2 linked regions of the Notamacropus eugenii genome follow. The protein of the gene in region 1 purifies or fractionates together with the protein of each later gene. This does not show direct contact. Links are inferred from orthologs where the notes say so. Each region holds a gene or a part of one and is shown in the gene's direction. Other genes may lie near its edges.

What was found. The genes of interacting proteins can lie anywhere in the genome.
Region 2: the proteins of RBM19 (region 1) and FBXW11 purify together in Homo sapiens (affinity purification with mass spectrometry; 3 studies listed by BioGRID and IntAct, with this or other methods). This does not show direct contact. The link is inferred for Notamacropus eugenii from reciprocal best matches to the Homo sapiens genes RBM19 and FBXW11.

Annotation. Positions count from the first base shown.
Region 1 is NC_092875.1:32,094,786-32,102,764, forward strand, and holds the start of RBM19 (probable RNA-binding protein 19), read left to right. Parts: upstream 1-4,970; 5' UTR 4,971-5,160; coding exon 5,161-5,196; intron 5,197-7,979. UniProt on the Homo sapiens protein: Plays a role in embryo pre-implantation development.
Region 2 is NC_092872.1:403,849,777-403,856,680, reverse strand, and holds the start of FBXW11 (F-box/WD repeat-containing protein 11), read left to right. Parts: upstream 1-3,897; 5' UTR 3,898-4,025; coding exon 4,026-4,070; intron 4,071-6,904.

The DNA of each region.
Region 1 (7,979 bases):
TCTCTTCTGCCAAGCTTTCCTCCCTTCCTCACTTCCCTATTACTGACAAGGATTCCACTATCCTTCAAGTCAACCAGGCTCACAATCCAGGTGTCATCCTTGACTCCTTCCCCTCTCTTACCCCTCACATTCAACCAGCTGTCAAGTTCTGGCGACTACTTTTGTAACATCTCTCCCATATGCCACCTTCTCTCCCTCTGACCCTGATATCACCCAGTGTAGGCCTTTATCACATCTTTCCTGGACTATTTCAGTGGGCTACTGATTGGCCTCTGCCTCAAGTCTCTCCCCACCCCAGTCCATCCTTCACTCAGCTGTCAAACTGAAAATGCAGGAATGATTGCAACTCAAAAACCAAACCAAACCAAACCTCTGCTCTCTCCCTGTCATCTATAGGATCAAATATAAAATCCTCTTTGGGAGCTTTTAACGGTTTTAATAACCTGATCCCTTGCTAGCTTTCCAGTCTTCTTATACCTTCTTCCCTTTCCATGAACTCTGTAATTCAGTAATAATAGTTTCCTTGCTGTTAAGCTACACAACACACTATAACTCTACTCAGGGTATTTTTACTGGCTATCCCCCATAACTAGAATTCTGTCCCTCTTCATCTTTGACTTTTGGATTCCTTTTACTAAGGTATATTTACTAAGGTGATTACCCTGGCTCTCTTAAGTCCCAGCTAAAGTCCTTCCTTCTATAGGAAGACTTTCCCTTTCTGCCTTAATCTTATTGCTTTCACTCTGAGATGATCTGTATCCTGTATGTATCCCATTTGTACGTAAGGGTTTGCACATTGTCTTCCCCACTGTGGGTTACTTAAGAGCAGGAGCTGCATTTTTGTGGGGTTTTTTAACAGTGTCTGGAACATACTGAAGACTTCATAAATACTTGCTGGCTTAACTTGAATTCAAAAAAGGTATCTTTTTTTTCTGACTCTCATGAACAAATACAATCTCTCACAATAATTGACCAAAAGTATAAAAACATTTCAGGACTTGCACATGATAGTGCGTGCAATGTCCTTTGACATAGAAAGACCCTAGGAGGAGAGGTGGAATTATCTAGGAATAAGAACAGCTGTCAAATGCCATGATGGCAGAAAGGAGTTAGGGAAACTGTTAAAGTGCAAAGGCACTGGCAGATTGCGTTAACGTCCAACTGGGACACATATGGGAAACTTGAATGATGCACTGCCCAATGCATGTTTCAACAACAAAACCCCAATATGTGAAATGAAATATATTCCAAATATTTGGAAAAAAAGCATGTATCAGATACTCTACATTCCCTTAATCAGCAATTGAAAGCAAAAAGCCACAAAGCTAAAGTAATCTAAGGAGTCAGAGAAGTGCAAAGAACAAGATAAACAATTTATTATCAGTTAAACACTTTGGTACAGTCTTGAAAATAATATTTCCATAGCATTTGAAGTTTACAGATCACTTCATGTGTTATTTTATTCTCACAACCTTATGATGTAGGTACAATTTTATCCATTTTACAGATGAGGAAAATGAAACCAAGGCAGGTTAAGTCTTACTTAATTGAGGTTAAGACTTACTTAAGTCAAACTCCAGACGTCCTGATTCCAAGTTCAGTGTTCTATCCACCACATCATTTAGAGCATCAGAGGAAAGAGAGGGTTGCTGAAGTTGGAATATGTGAACGTTTTTGGTCATTTATAGTCTATTGTCATAAGAAGTACAAAACAATGAAAATTCAAGTTGGATTAAAAGAAAAAGAGATTGTTTGCATATGATGATGATGATGAAGTATCATTTATATAGTACTGCAAGGTATACAAATTACAGACAGGTGGCTCAGTGATAAAAAGCTGGGCCTGGAGTCAGGAAGACCTGAGTTCAAATCTTGCCTCCTGCAGATAAGTCACTTAACTTTTATATGTCTCAATTTCTTCATCTGTAAAGTGGAGATTAAAAAGAACATGATTATTGTGAGGATCAAATGAGGTAATATTCATAAAATGCTTTGCAAACCTGTGTTATATAACTGCTATTATTATTTTAACAATTGTATTTACTTACAAGAACACCCATTTTGTAGACCTGAGCAATAGCCCACAGAACATTAAATACACAAGTAGTATGGCAGCTTGTCCCTGTCCATCAAACTAAAATAAGGAAATTTTCATCATAATAATAGAGGTATGGACTGGACCTTTGATTTAATTTTAATTAATTTCATTGTAAATTTCAAAATTTTGAGAATTCCCAGATGGGGAAATTCTTTCTACCAATGCAAAGTTAAAACCTGTTCTGCAATTTATAATCTTAGAGAGGCAGCTAGAGCATTGAGAGTAAGTGACTTGTGTAGGAGCACAGAGTCCATATGTGTCAAAGGTAAGACTTGAACTCAGGTCTTCCTGACTCCAATTCTAATGCTCTACCCACCACACCACCTAGTTGTCATGTGTCATTGTATTAATTTGTTGTCGTTCAGACATTTTTCAGTCATGTCTGACTCTTCATGATCCCTTTTGAGGTTTCCTTGGCAAAGATACTGGAGTGGTTTGCCATTTCCTTCTCCAGCTCATTTTATAGATGTGGAAACAGAGGCAAATAGGGTGGATTGAACTGCCCAGAATCATACAGCTGTGTATGAAGCTGGACTTGAACTCAGGTCTTCCTGCCATCAGGCCCAGTACTCTATGCACTGCACCACCTACTGTTATCCACACAATAGGTGTTCAAAAGGAAGGCTGGGAATTCTAGAAGGACCCTTAATGGACAATGTGATGCAGGATGAGAAGGCTTGGATGGGTCGTGACCTGCACAGTTAGAAGGCACATCCACTTGAAGGAGATCATAGACTCATTGAAATACATGGTGTTTTTGACTCTCCATCTAAATAGTAATCTGTCTAGAATCAGGGACTGGCTCTGATATTTCTTTTGCCTCCTCCATGGTGCCCAGCATGGTCTTTCATACAGACAAAATAAATTGATATTTTTCTTGCATGGGATATTTAGGCTTTTAGTCCTGGAGCCATCTTGTGTGATATCTACTTATCATGGTGGAGTGGGAAGTATACGAGGGTAGGACACCATAACAAGGAATGCTGGGCTCTAGTCCTGAGCTTTGTGACTATGGGCAAGTAAGTTGTTTCGAAATGCAGAGTCTCTAAATCCTTACATGTAAAAGGGAAGGGTTGGATAATATGGTGTCTAAGATTTCTTCAGCTCTGCACAGGGGTAAGCTAGTGAACATTTATCAACACAGTTCCTATGAAGAATAAGTTTGCATATACTTTCAAGTTTAATCTGCATTAAGAATTCTTTCTTAAATCTAGAAAATCAACAAAAATAATAAAGAAAAATTAACCTTTGTCAATTTCCTAGGTATGATGACATGGAAAATTTAACTATCAGCTCTTTCAGGATGGCTAGATCTGACCCCAGCACACCCCTGGGTCTGACACAGCCAAAACAATGTCTGTTCTAAGGCTTCTTCTAACTTTGAAATTCTGTTTTAAGGGTCTTCCTAGCTCTCACATTCTAAGTTCTAGGGCCCCTCCCACTTCTAATACTCTGTCCTAAAATCCTTCCCACATTGCACATTTTATCTTCCATGGTCCCCAGAAGTTCTAAAATCTCAATTTCCCTCCCCATGGCCCACCTGTTTCTTTTTTTGTTTCTCTTTTCGGCCCCTCCCAGCATTTCTTCCTGCATCTGGCCTGTTTCTCTGGGTGAGGAGTTAATTGGGCCCAGATGCTCCTCCTCCTCGTGACTTGGGGTGTTCCTGGCTTGGAGATTTATCAGATTGGGACGGATTAGGTTGGATTTTCCTCCCATATGTAATCTGAGAATCTGGCATCCATAGATCCTCCCCTGGGCAGACTATGTTGGTAGATATATAGTTTGCAAGGGAGGGGGTAGAATCACAAACCTAGGGAGCAAGGTGAAAAGGGAAGGGCTTCACTACCCCCTTCTCAATAAGTTACAAACCAGCTTGCTATTGAATAAACTTAGGAAATACAGCAAGTAAATGTTCTGAATTCCCCCCACACAGAATCATAGTGTCAGTGCTGGGAGAGTCCTCAGAACATTATCCAACAGTCAATCAGTCAGCAAGTTTATATTAAGTGTGCCTGGCATGCAGGAAGCACCTAATGAATACTTGTTGACTGACTATGTGACAGGCACTGAACTAAGTGCCGGGGATGGAAGTAAAAGCAAAAACAGACCTCAAAGAACTTACATTCTACTAGGGGAAACTAGGTGGATTCAAGCAGCTAGATGTCAGCGAGGATAGACACCAGGTCTCCAAGCCTCAGACACTTACTAGCTAGGTGACCCTGACCAAGTCACTTAACCCCGTTTGCCTCAGTTTCCTCATCTGTAAAATGAGCTGGAGAAGGAAATGGCAAACCACTCCAATATCTACCAAGAAAACCAAAGAGTGGCCAGGATTGAACACGGAGATTCAAGATTTATGTACACACAGAAGAGAGGGGAGGTCATCTGAGAAAGGCGGGCACTGGGGAGGACTGGGAAAGGCTGTGAACCGAAGCTTGAAGGGCGTCAGAGTGTAACCAGGAGGCTGAAGTGAGTGTTGGGGCATTCCAGGCATGCGCCATGTTCCGGGCAAAGGCGCAGAGGTGGGAGACAGCGCTGGTGTAGGCTGATCACGGTGTTCCCGGAGGAGCGGGATCCTCGCCTGAGACTCCCGGCTTTGGCCTGGTTGGTTCCCCGGTTTCCACAGGAGGCCTTTCCCAGGCCTCGGGTTCTCCTCCCGCCCAGGGCCCAGCGGCCTCGATGTCCGCGCCTCCAGGCGCACTTAAATGCGAGTCTGGTCATCCTCTCCCTGACGTCATGGTCTTTGGGCACACAAACACAAGCAGCTCCTTGGGTTCCCTTGGGGCACTAGGCGCCCTCTGCTGGCCGTACCTCCTCCCCACAGGTTCGGTTGGTTACTTCGGCGGCCCCACGCCTGCGCACACGCGAGCTCTCCCGGCGAGCGTCTCCGCCCCACCCCTCTGGCCCTGGGGGGGGGGGCGTGGCTTGATGTGGCGTCACACCCGCTTCCGGCAAAGCTTGGCGTGCCACGTGACTCTGTTTCGGGTGGAGCAAGATGGCGGCGCCCAGGAAAGCAGCGTGAACGCTTTGCCGGGGGAGCCCGAAGCGCGCAGCCTGTCGCCATGTCGCGACTCATCGTCAAGAACCTGCCGAGCGGGGTGAGCACGACTCCTGGGGTTTCCTTAGGGGAGGTGGGAGGATTCGGGGTGCGGGGAGAGGCCCCGTCTTGTACCCTGCGTTCATTCCGGCGGTCTGCCTCCATCCGCCGCTTCTCGGGCCTATCACCGGACCCCGAGACCTGGGGGTCGAAGCCCACCTTTGGCAAGCTCTTCCAGCTAAGATCTACGCGCTTAACCTTCGGCCTCAGTTTCCTTCTTTGTAAAATGAGGGGAGGGGGTTGAACTAGGTGGCTTCCGAAGATTCCTTTTTCTAAGCCTCAATTTCCTCATCCGTGAAGTGGGGGTGACAGTATATCCCCAATTTCACGGTCACTGTGGTCTCCCGATGCCGCTTTGTAGCCTGGGGGTGACCCTGGGTACATAGTAGGCACTTAACAAGTGCTCGATGATGAATCGATTGCTCAGCTTCTCCTAGCTAGTAAATAACACGTTCTAGGTTGTCTTAACTCCCAGTCTAGTGCCCGTGGTGTCCCCTGCACCCTGCACTTTGCCTATAGTGTAGACCATGGTAGTCTGTTTTTGGGAAGCGAATCACAGGGTGATGCTTTCTTTCAGCTATGGTTATCTTCTGAGTCTAGGAATAGTTTGTTGTGTTTGTCCTTCATTCTCGAGGAGGATCGTGACATCAAAATGGTGATGATAAATAAATATAAAATAATAAATTTATATTATATGTAAGTGAATAATGATATAATCTGGTAGAAGGAGTGCCCCCACTTAACTCCTGTCTGTTTGCCTGCAGCATGGAAGCTTCTTGAGAGCAAGGACTGTTTTCATTTTAGACCCCAGCACAGCACAGTAGTACCTAGCACCGAATAAGTACTTGCTTCTTGGTTGATACAAAGTTACCGATCTTGGAAAGTAAGTAGGGTTATTATGTAACAGGTATTACAGGACTGTAAATTATTGTTACTTCCTGTCTCCCATCCAAACAATTCACTGGATCCAAGATCGCAGAATCTAGAGCTGGGAATCATTTAATCCAATAGTATCATTTTATGCTGGAGGAAACTCCTGAAGTGGACTAGTTCATTAGTCTGCTCCCATCACTACACGATGCATCCCTGATTGTCAAGAGTCTTAACTGGGAATTTCTGTTCTGCTTTAGTTCCTTTCTCCATCCCCATTCAGTGACTGGGCTTTTGTTCAAGGTAATGGTCCTCAACATTCCTAAGCTATTGTACCATCTCTGGCATAGGAAAGTGCCTTCTGTACAGAAGGCAGGGGTAGGGCAGTTAGAGGGAGGATGAATTGTACAGTGAGGGAAATGCTTTTTATGCCTTTGAGGAGACATGAAGGGTGGCTCCTTTGGCAGAATGGTGGTGCTCTATTCCTGGTGCCTCAAAGGGTCCTTTTTCTCTCAGTTTGATTGGTCTTTTGCGAGATGAAAGTATACTACGTTAGTGATGAAAGTATACTACGTTAGTGTTCTTGGTCACCTCAGAGCACTTTCCAATGGGAGTTTAAAACAATAAGATAGAATTGGGCATTTCAGAGAAGTGCGCTGTGTCATCTAAATAGCCTGAGGTTGGACCAGCGTTGGTAGAGTTGGCACATTTTGAAATTATAGCACTTTCTGTCTATCTGTCAAGCCTTCCCTAAATCTTCAGATTTTCAGATCTTTCCGCTGTGGTTTCTTCTAGAGTTGTGAGTGATATTCCAGCCTTACATTACAGCACCTACTTGCCGCCTGCGATACCCTAAGGAGAGCTCCCAGCTTTATGAATGTCTGGGAGGAAGGATAGGCTCTTAGATCTAGACCTGAGAGGGACCTTAGAGTTCTATTAGTCCAGTCTCTCACTTTACAGTTGATGAAACTGAACCAGCCCAGGGGATGGTACTAAGTGGCTCAGCCAGGATTTGAATGTAGGTCCCAGGACTCCAAAGCCAGGGTTCTTTCTACTGTACCATGCCCTGTAATAGATAATGGAGATCTGTAGCCTAGAGATCATGTAAGCCAGGAGTTCTATGAACTTGATTTTTAAAAAACTTTTGGTAACTGTTTTTCTTTAGAATTGTTTCCTTTATAATTGTGTGTTTTATTTTATTTTGAATTTTTATTTTAGACTCAACACCCAAACACAAATACAGAAAGAAAAAAACATTATAAACCTAAATGTTGGAACTTAAATACAAAGCAAGAAAGAAAACAAGCATGTTGTGCATAGCAGAACATAAAGCATGTCATGTGCGTAGCAGAACATAAAGCATGTCATGTGCGTAGCAGAACATAAAGCATGTCATGTGCATAGCAGAACATAGAGCATGTCATGTGCATAGCAGAACATAAGAGAGGATGCAAAATATGTATCAACAAATTTTCATTTCAAGAAAGCCTGTATGATAAATACTACATGTTGTGTTAAGAGCTGTCCATCTTTTCTTTGCTTCCTTGTAAGTTTTCTTTTGTTCTCTGCTGGGTACTTTTTACTCTGATCTTCCCCCCCCACTCAAGGCTACAATTAAGTGTAGATATATTTCTCTGTAGCTATAGATACACACACACACACACACACACACACACACACACACATATATAATGTGTTTTATTTTATGCATTTAAAAACATTCCAAGGAGAGGTCCGTAGACTTTACCAGTTTGCCAAAGAGTCTAGGACTCAAAAAGGTTAATCCTTGGACTCGATCAACCTCATTTTTACAGAGGAGGAATCTGAGAACCAGAGAAGGTGATTGATTTGCCTATAGCCACACACTGTGCCTGAGTGGAAGAGCTGAAACTGGAGTAAGAAGGGCAAAGCCCT
Region 2 (6,904 bases), on another chromosome or scaffold:
TGATCATACCATCTCCTTGAGAGCTTGTCCTATACCTCTCCTCTGCTGCATAGCCAAACTCCTGGAAAATGCCTTCTTTAAGCCATTGACTCTGTCTTCTCCACCCCTCCACCCTCCATTTACTTTTCAGTTCTTTGCAACTGAAATCTAGCTTCATCACTCAACTGAAATTGCTCTCTCCAAGGTCACCAATGATCTCTAAATGACTACATCTAATGGCATACACTCGAATCTCCCTCATTCTTTTTGACCTCTCTGCATCAGATTCTACTGCCCATCCCTTCCTCCTGAATACTCCTTCCTCCCTGGGTTTTGAAGACACAGCTTTCCCAGATCTCTTCCTACCCTTTTGTCTGTACCTTCCAAGGGACTGGACCAAAAAGTGTTCTTAATCTGGAGTCCAAAAACTTTTTAAAGAAATATTTTGATAACTTTTTAATCACAACAAGATGTGTTCATTAAAGTACCTACTATGTACCAGGCATTGTGCTAAGTACTGGGGTTTTTAAAGAAAGGCAAAAAACAAAACAAAAACCAAAAACAAGCCCCAGATCTCAGGGAGTTCAGTGTAATGAAAAGACAACATGCAAATGACTATGTACAAATAATCTTAAGTAGTTAAATTGGAGATAATCAACTGAGGGAAGGTCTTTAGGGAGGATTAGGAAACATTTCTTATAGAAAGTAGGATTTTAGTTGGGCTTGAAGGAATCTAGGGAAGCCATGAGGTAGAGGTAAGGAGGGAGAGTATTCCAAGTAGGGCAGCCAGCCAGAAGTGGCATGGAGCTAGACTTGAGTATCTTGTGCAAGGAACAGCAAGGAAGATTGGATTGAAAAGTATGTGGGGGTTGGGAGGGAGGGAAGATCTCCAAGGTAGGATAGTTATGAAGGTTATGAAGGCCTTTGAATATGAAAGGATTTTAAAATTTGATCCTGGAAGTGATAGGGAGCTAATGGTGAAGGGCGGGGGGAAGGGAAGGTGATATGGTCAGACTTGGCATTTTAGAAAGATCACTTTGACAGATGAATGGAGTAGGGACTAGAATTGGGAGAGATTTGGGGCAGGTCGCCAATAAGCAGGCTATTGCAATGGTCCTGGCATGAGATGATGAGCGCCTGCCTGTACCAGGATGGTGGCAGGATCAGAGAGAAGGGGCCAAATTGGAGATATGTTACAAAGATAAAATTGACAAGCCTTGGCAATAGATTGTGAATGAGGGTGAGAGGAATAAGTCAAAGATAACACCTAAACTGATGCTTTGGGGACTGGGAAGATGATGGTACTCTTAAGAGTAATAGGGAAGTTAGGAAGAGAGGAGGAGATTGTGGGTGGTGTAACACTTACAGGTGGTAGGAGATAATGAGTTCAGTTTTAGATACGTAAGATTAATATGTCTACAGGACATCCAATTCAAGATGGGCAGCAGGCAGTTGGAGAAGTAGGACTGGAGTGCAAAAATATTTATAGCAGCTCTCTTTGTGGTGGCCAAGAACTGGAAATCAAGGGGATGCCCATTAGTTGGGGAATGGCTGAACAAGGTGTGGTATATGAATGTAATGGAATACTAATGTGCTATAAGAAATGATGAATGAAAGACTTTAGAGAGGCCTGGAAGGACTTAAATGAACTGAATCTGAGTGAAAGGAGCAGAACCAGGAGAACTTTGTACACAGTAACAACTACAGTGTGCAAGGAGAGGAATTTTTCTGGTAGACTCAGCCCTTCACAGCAATGCAAGGACCTAAAAAATTCCCAATAGACTCTTGAGGCAAAGAGTGTTCTACATCCAGAGAAAGAACTATGGAATTGGATTGCTGAATGAAGCAGACTATTTTCTCTTGTGTTTTTTTTTCTCATGATTTCTCCCATTCCTTTTAATTCTTCCATGCAACATGACTAAGGTGAAAATGTATTTAGTAAAAATGTATGTGTAGAACCCATGTAAGATTGCATGCTTTCTGGGGAAGGGAGGGGAAAAAGAGGGAAAAAGGAGGGGGTGGAAGGGGGAGGAAATCTAAGATTTATGGAAGTGATTGTAGAAAACTGAAAACAAATTAATAAAAAGAGAAGTGGGACTGGAGGTCAGGAGAGAGATTGGATCTGAAAATCATCAGAAGAAAAGATTACTGAAACTACTGGAGTTGATGAGATCACTCAGTGAAACAGTACCTAGGGAAGACAAAAAAAAAGGGCTCATGACCACACCCAGATTTAGTTATAATTGGTTTACTTTGTATAAAGGTGATAGTGAAACTATCCCATTTGGTTCTGATCCCCATAGTAGATGAGAACGTTTTGATTCAATCAAACAATCAGAACTGAGTTTGAACTGGCTCCTTGTGAGAGATTGGATCCCACTCTTTATCAATTTGTATAAAAGGAAGAAAGTAGAATTGGGATGAGTGAGTGGAGAAAGATTCTGAGCCACTGGATTCAAGAGGTTGGAGGAGCAAAGGGAATACTGAACAGTGGAAGACAAGGAAGTATCTAGGAGAATTGCATCTTGGAGAAGAGGACCCAGGATGAGTCAAGTCCCAATCAAAGGTCAGCTCTATAGATATTACAGTATAATCTCCTGTTTCCTTACCCAAACGTCTCCTGTAAAATGAACTTTGCCTCAACCACTAACCAAGAGTTAGAAAGAGATTTAACATAAGGTTAGGCAAAAAGCCTATATGTCAGGAATTTTCTTAACTAGGGCTCTTTGCACTTATTACTGAACTCTGAACTTTTCATCTAAAACTTTGTAAAGGTGAAAGCACCAAATGCACTTCAAGAGCCATAATATTTCCTTATAAGTTTAAAAATGAGCTTGCTATTAAAACATAATAGAAAATTTATTGTGCTAAGCACAAAAAATAATTTATAACCACATATTCCATATCATGCATTTAAAATCTTATTCTGAGACTGGATCAGTAGTTTTCATTTTTGTATCACAAGGATCGACACAAAAAAGGTTAAGGATTCCTGGGCCAGCTGATGTCTAAAGTCCCACTAGCGCTGGGGAACTGCATGCCCTCGGGCCCCTCCACCCATTTATTCCCCCTTCAGCATGCAGCGAGTGAACTTCCACCTCGCAGGGCGCAGAGCCCGGTACCTGCCAGTTCTCTGGTTCCTGCCTCCTGCCAAGGCCCGACCCAACATCCTCCACAAACCAACTTCTCCCTGCTCCCGCCCGCCCCCATTTTGCTACTGGGTACCTTCCCTATTCAGGCCCATACGACTCTAGACCCCTCCAACATAAAGAACCCCACAACCCAACCCTTCCTGCTCCGGGGCCTGATTCGCCCCTGGGGTTCCCCCGACACGAATTATTCTAGGTCACCCCTTAATTAAGCTCCGCGGCCCTTCTTCGGGGTGCCGGAGCGAACGGGGACAGATTGCGCATGTGCGGAAACTAGCCGCACGCGCAGGGCCTCACTGACTGTTAAGTCGTCTTGGAGTTTCCGCTCCTGTTTTAGGACTACGGTTTCCGACAGTCATCAAGGTACCCAAGTAGTTTCGGGGAAGCGCGCCGGAAGCACCGAAACCTACAAGGCCCGACCGCAGAGGCTAGTGGGATGTGTAGTTCATGAACGCCTCAATAACTCTCTTTACTCAGGAACCCCAATTCTGCCCAAAATGTAGCGGTCTTAACTCCCGACGAACAGAGTCAAGGTTAGGGCGTCCTCTGGAAGCTCAGGCTTAGGCTGCATTCGCAGGCGAAGGGATCAATCTAGAGCCAGGATTTCAATCCCAGGAAGCTCTGCGGCGGACAGGCCGCCCGGCTCGGTATGCCCTGTAGTTGGGCGCGGGGCTTCCTGGGAGCTGTAGTCCCCGAGTTGCGTTACGGCGTTGGCGGAGGGGAGGGCGGAGCTGCCGGCGGCCCGGGCGGGCGGGCAGCTAGAGAGAGTGCGATCGCCGCTGCCGCCGCCGCCGCCGCCGCTGCAGCCGCCACTATCGCCGCAGCCGCCGCCGCCGCCAGCTCCGGGGCCGTTCGCCGCTGCGGGGAGCGAGAGGCGGAGGCGGGGCGGGTGCCGCGATGGAGCCCGACTCGGTGATCGAGGACAAGACCATCGAGCTCATGGTGAGTGCGGCCCCGCCGGACCCTCGGCCCCGGGCCTGCCCAGCGCGATCGGAGGGCCCGAACCCTCCCACAGCCCCGATTCCGCCTCCCCTCCCCCCAGCACTCCCCGACGGAGGCCTGTCCTGGCTCCCCCCGCCCTCCCTTCCCACCCGATTCCTCTTCGGGTCTGATCTTTTTCTCCATTTCCCCTCCCTACTCCTGGCTCGCCGACCCGATCCAGGGATCCCCCTCCCCCCTCCAGTCCCCACTCTTGCTCCCGAGGACCCGTTGCCTGCTCCCTGGCCCGTGACCCCGACCCGCCGTCCGGGTGATCTCCCCTCCCCCATCCTGTCCCCTTTGCCCCTCCCCCCGCCTACCCCCACCAGGCAAACACACGCCCCCAGCACCCCAAAGGGTCTTCTTTCCGACCCCTTCCCCCTCAAATCCATCCTGGCTGATCCACCTAGTCCGGAGCCTTGGGCCGCCCCGCCCGGTCCGAGCCTGCACTCTCCCCCTCACCCCCATCCCTGCCCCCGCTGCATTTCTCGTGATTCCCTCCCCTTTTCCCCTCTAGACTAAGAGAGAGGTAGAAGAGAATGGAAAAGGAGGGTCAGGGAAGCCCCAGTCGCCATTGCTTCTCATCCTCCTCTTCCTCAAGCCTCGGAGGCCTCAGTGCACCCCCTTTCTCCTTCACCCTCAGTCTTGAAGTAGCTAACCCTCGTCCCCCCCGACCCGAGTAAGAGCGCAGAGTCTGTGAGTGCTCCGGATAATCGGTTGGGTGTATTCCGGGAGCTCGGTTTTCTGGGAGTGACTGATTTATAGCCCCGGATCTCCCGGGCTTCTCTGGTGACTGGATTATTGGGGTTGATCCGGACAAAGGGCTTCTGACATTCTGCGGAAATCCCGGCAGCTGCTTCACGCTGGAGGGCTCAGAGGCTTCTCTGAGGATACAGTATTTTAACTGAAAGGAAGAGTAGCTGTTTACTCATTTTTTTCTGTGTTTGCAGGGACAGTGAAGCCCTGATAGGCCCTTAGTACCTTCCAACTATTCTGCAAAAGCAAGAGGCTATGACTAATTGATGGGGTAAATCAGCCTTGTATTAGAAACCAGTGCGGGGTTAGGGAGCAGAGCTCCAGGCCTGGGGAAAGTGGATCTGGAACCAAAACAAGTCTTTGCAGAAATGGGTGACAGGATGGTATAAGGAAGAGTAACAGTAGTAGAAGTGGAGCATTTTAAAATTTCTTATTTCTCCCATGATGACTGACTGAAAGACGTATATATGGCAGGTGGTACCTGCCAATTTTAGCGGCTGAGGAAATCAATCATAGGGAATATGCTGGGTGGATAACTTAGTGCACATTCACCAGTATTTTAAGGCTAGTTTCTAGTCTAGGCTGTATTAGCTTCTCTACCCAGCACTTTTGCTACAGAAACCTTGATGGTTTCTTTGTATCTAGTCTAACAGTAACAAGTTTTTCCCTGAGTTGAAGGAAAGGAGGACAGAAATCACTTGTCAAATTATATCAGAAGGTTTTCATAGTCAGATTTTTCTCAATTCATGAATGCCTATTGAGTCAAAGATTCCACTAGGTAGGGTCAGTGACATCAGAGCCACTTCCACATTTAATGCTATAAATAATAAATGGTGACTACTCTGAATGCCCTTTGGATAGCTACCCAGTTTCAGTAGATGTTGATATATTAAGGACAGAGCCACATTTTTTTTTCAGATGGAAGTACAGTAGCTTAAATATGGAGGTAGCTCAATATCTACTGTCTTTTTGCTTTATTTAGATAACTAAATTTCCTCAGTGCTTTGAACACTAGAACCAGATCATTTTCCCCAGAAAGTTTTCAAAAAGTATATTTGTATAGTATATTTGTGGCATTAAAAAAAAACAAACCATGATATCGATCATTTATTGAGTAATTTTGCTTTTTAGCAGTATTTTATAGCCAGCAGTAATCTATTTAGGCATTTGATACACACTTACAGTATGTTATTCTGGCAAAAGATACTGTAACAAGGACTACCACTCATATATACTTAAACAGTATAAACATTTAAGATTGAAATTTAAGTCTAAACTTTTAAGCAGAATTTTTCATATTGAAACATTGTGAAACAAAAATGGTTTGATTAGGCTGATAATGAGCTGCATATCTTGGTAACTGAATACTTATTTTTTAAAAAAACTACAAATCATCTGTTTTCCTAATTACTTGGTTAAGTATAAATGAAGACCAACATCTTTATGTTAAAATGAACTTTTCAGTCTCAAAGCCTAAAATCTTAATCTTCTAAGGTTCAAACTTTAGACCACAAAAGTTTTTGACTAATGTGACAGTACTTGTCTCTGTTCTAACAAGACAGCCTTCTAAAGCTAGTGAAAAAAAATAAAAGCAAACTCTTTACCAGATGTACAACACATCTGGATATTCATAGAACATGTTTAATAACCCTAAAGCTATAAGGGGGTGCAGGTGGGGGTGGGGTAGAAGCTTCATCTAAGACTTTGCTGTTCTTTGTGGGATAAACTAGTTAAGACTATTAAAGCCTTTCCTCAAAGCCTTTTTTTTTGTACTTGTGTTGGTATATTAGGGCAGGTAAATATAATATATTTAAAGCTTGAGTGACAGTATCTACTGATAAATTAGAAATAGTATCAGTGGATCATTGCTTGAGACTTTTCTTTGGTTTATATTGGGGCAGCATCCTCATTCTATAAATAAACAGATCTTTTACACCAGTTTTTAAATTCTTTAATTGATAAGGAACTGTAGAGAACCCAATCGATCTACTACTGTGAAAGTTTAAAAAACCCAAAGCAGGAAAGTTTGTTTTATGAGTCCA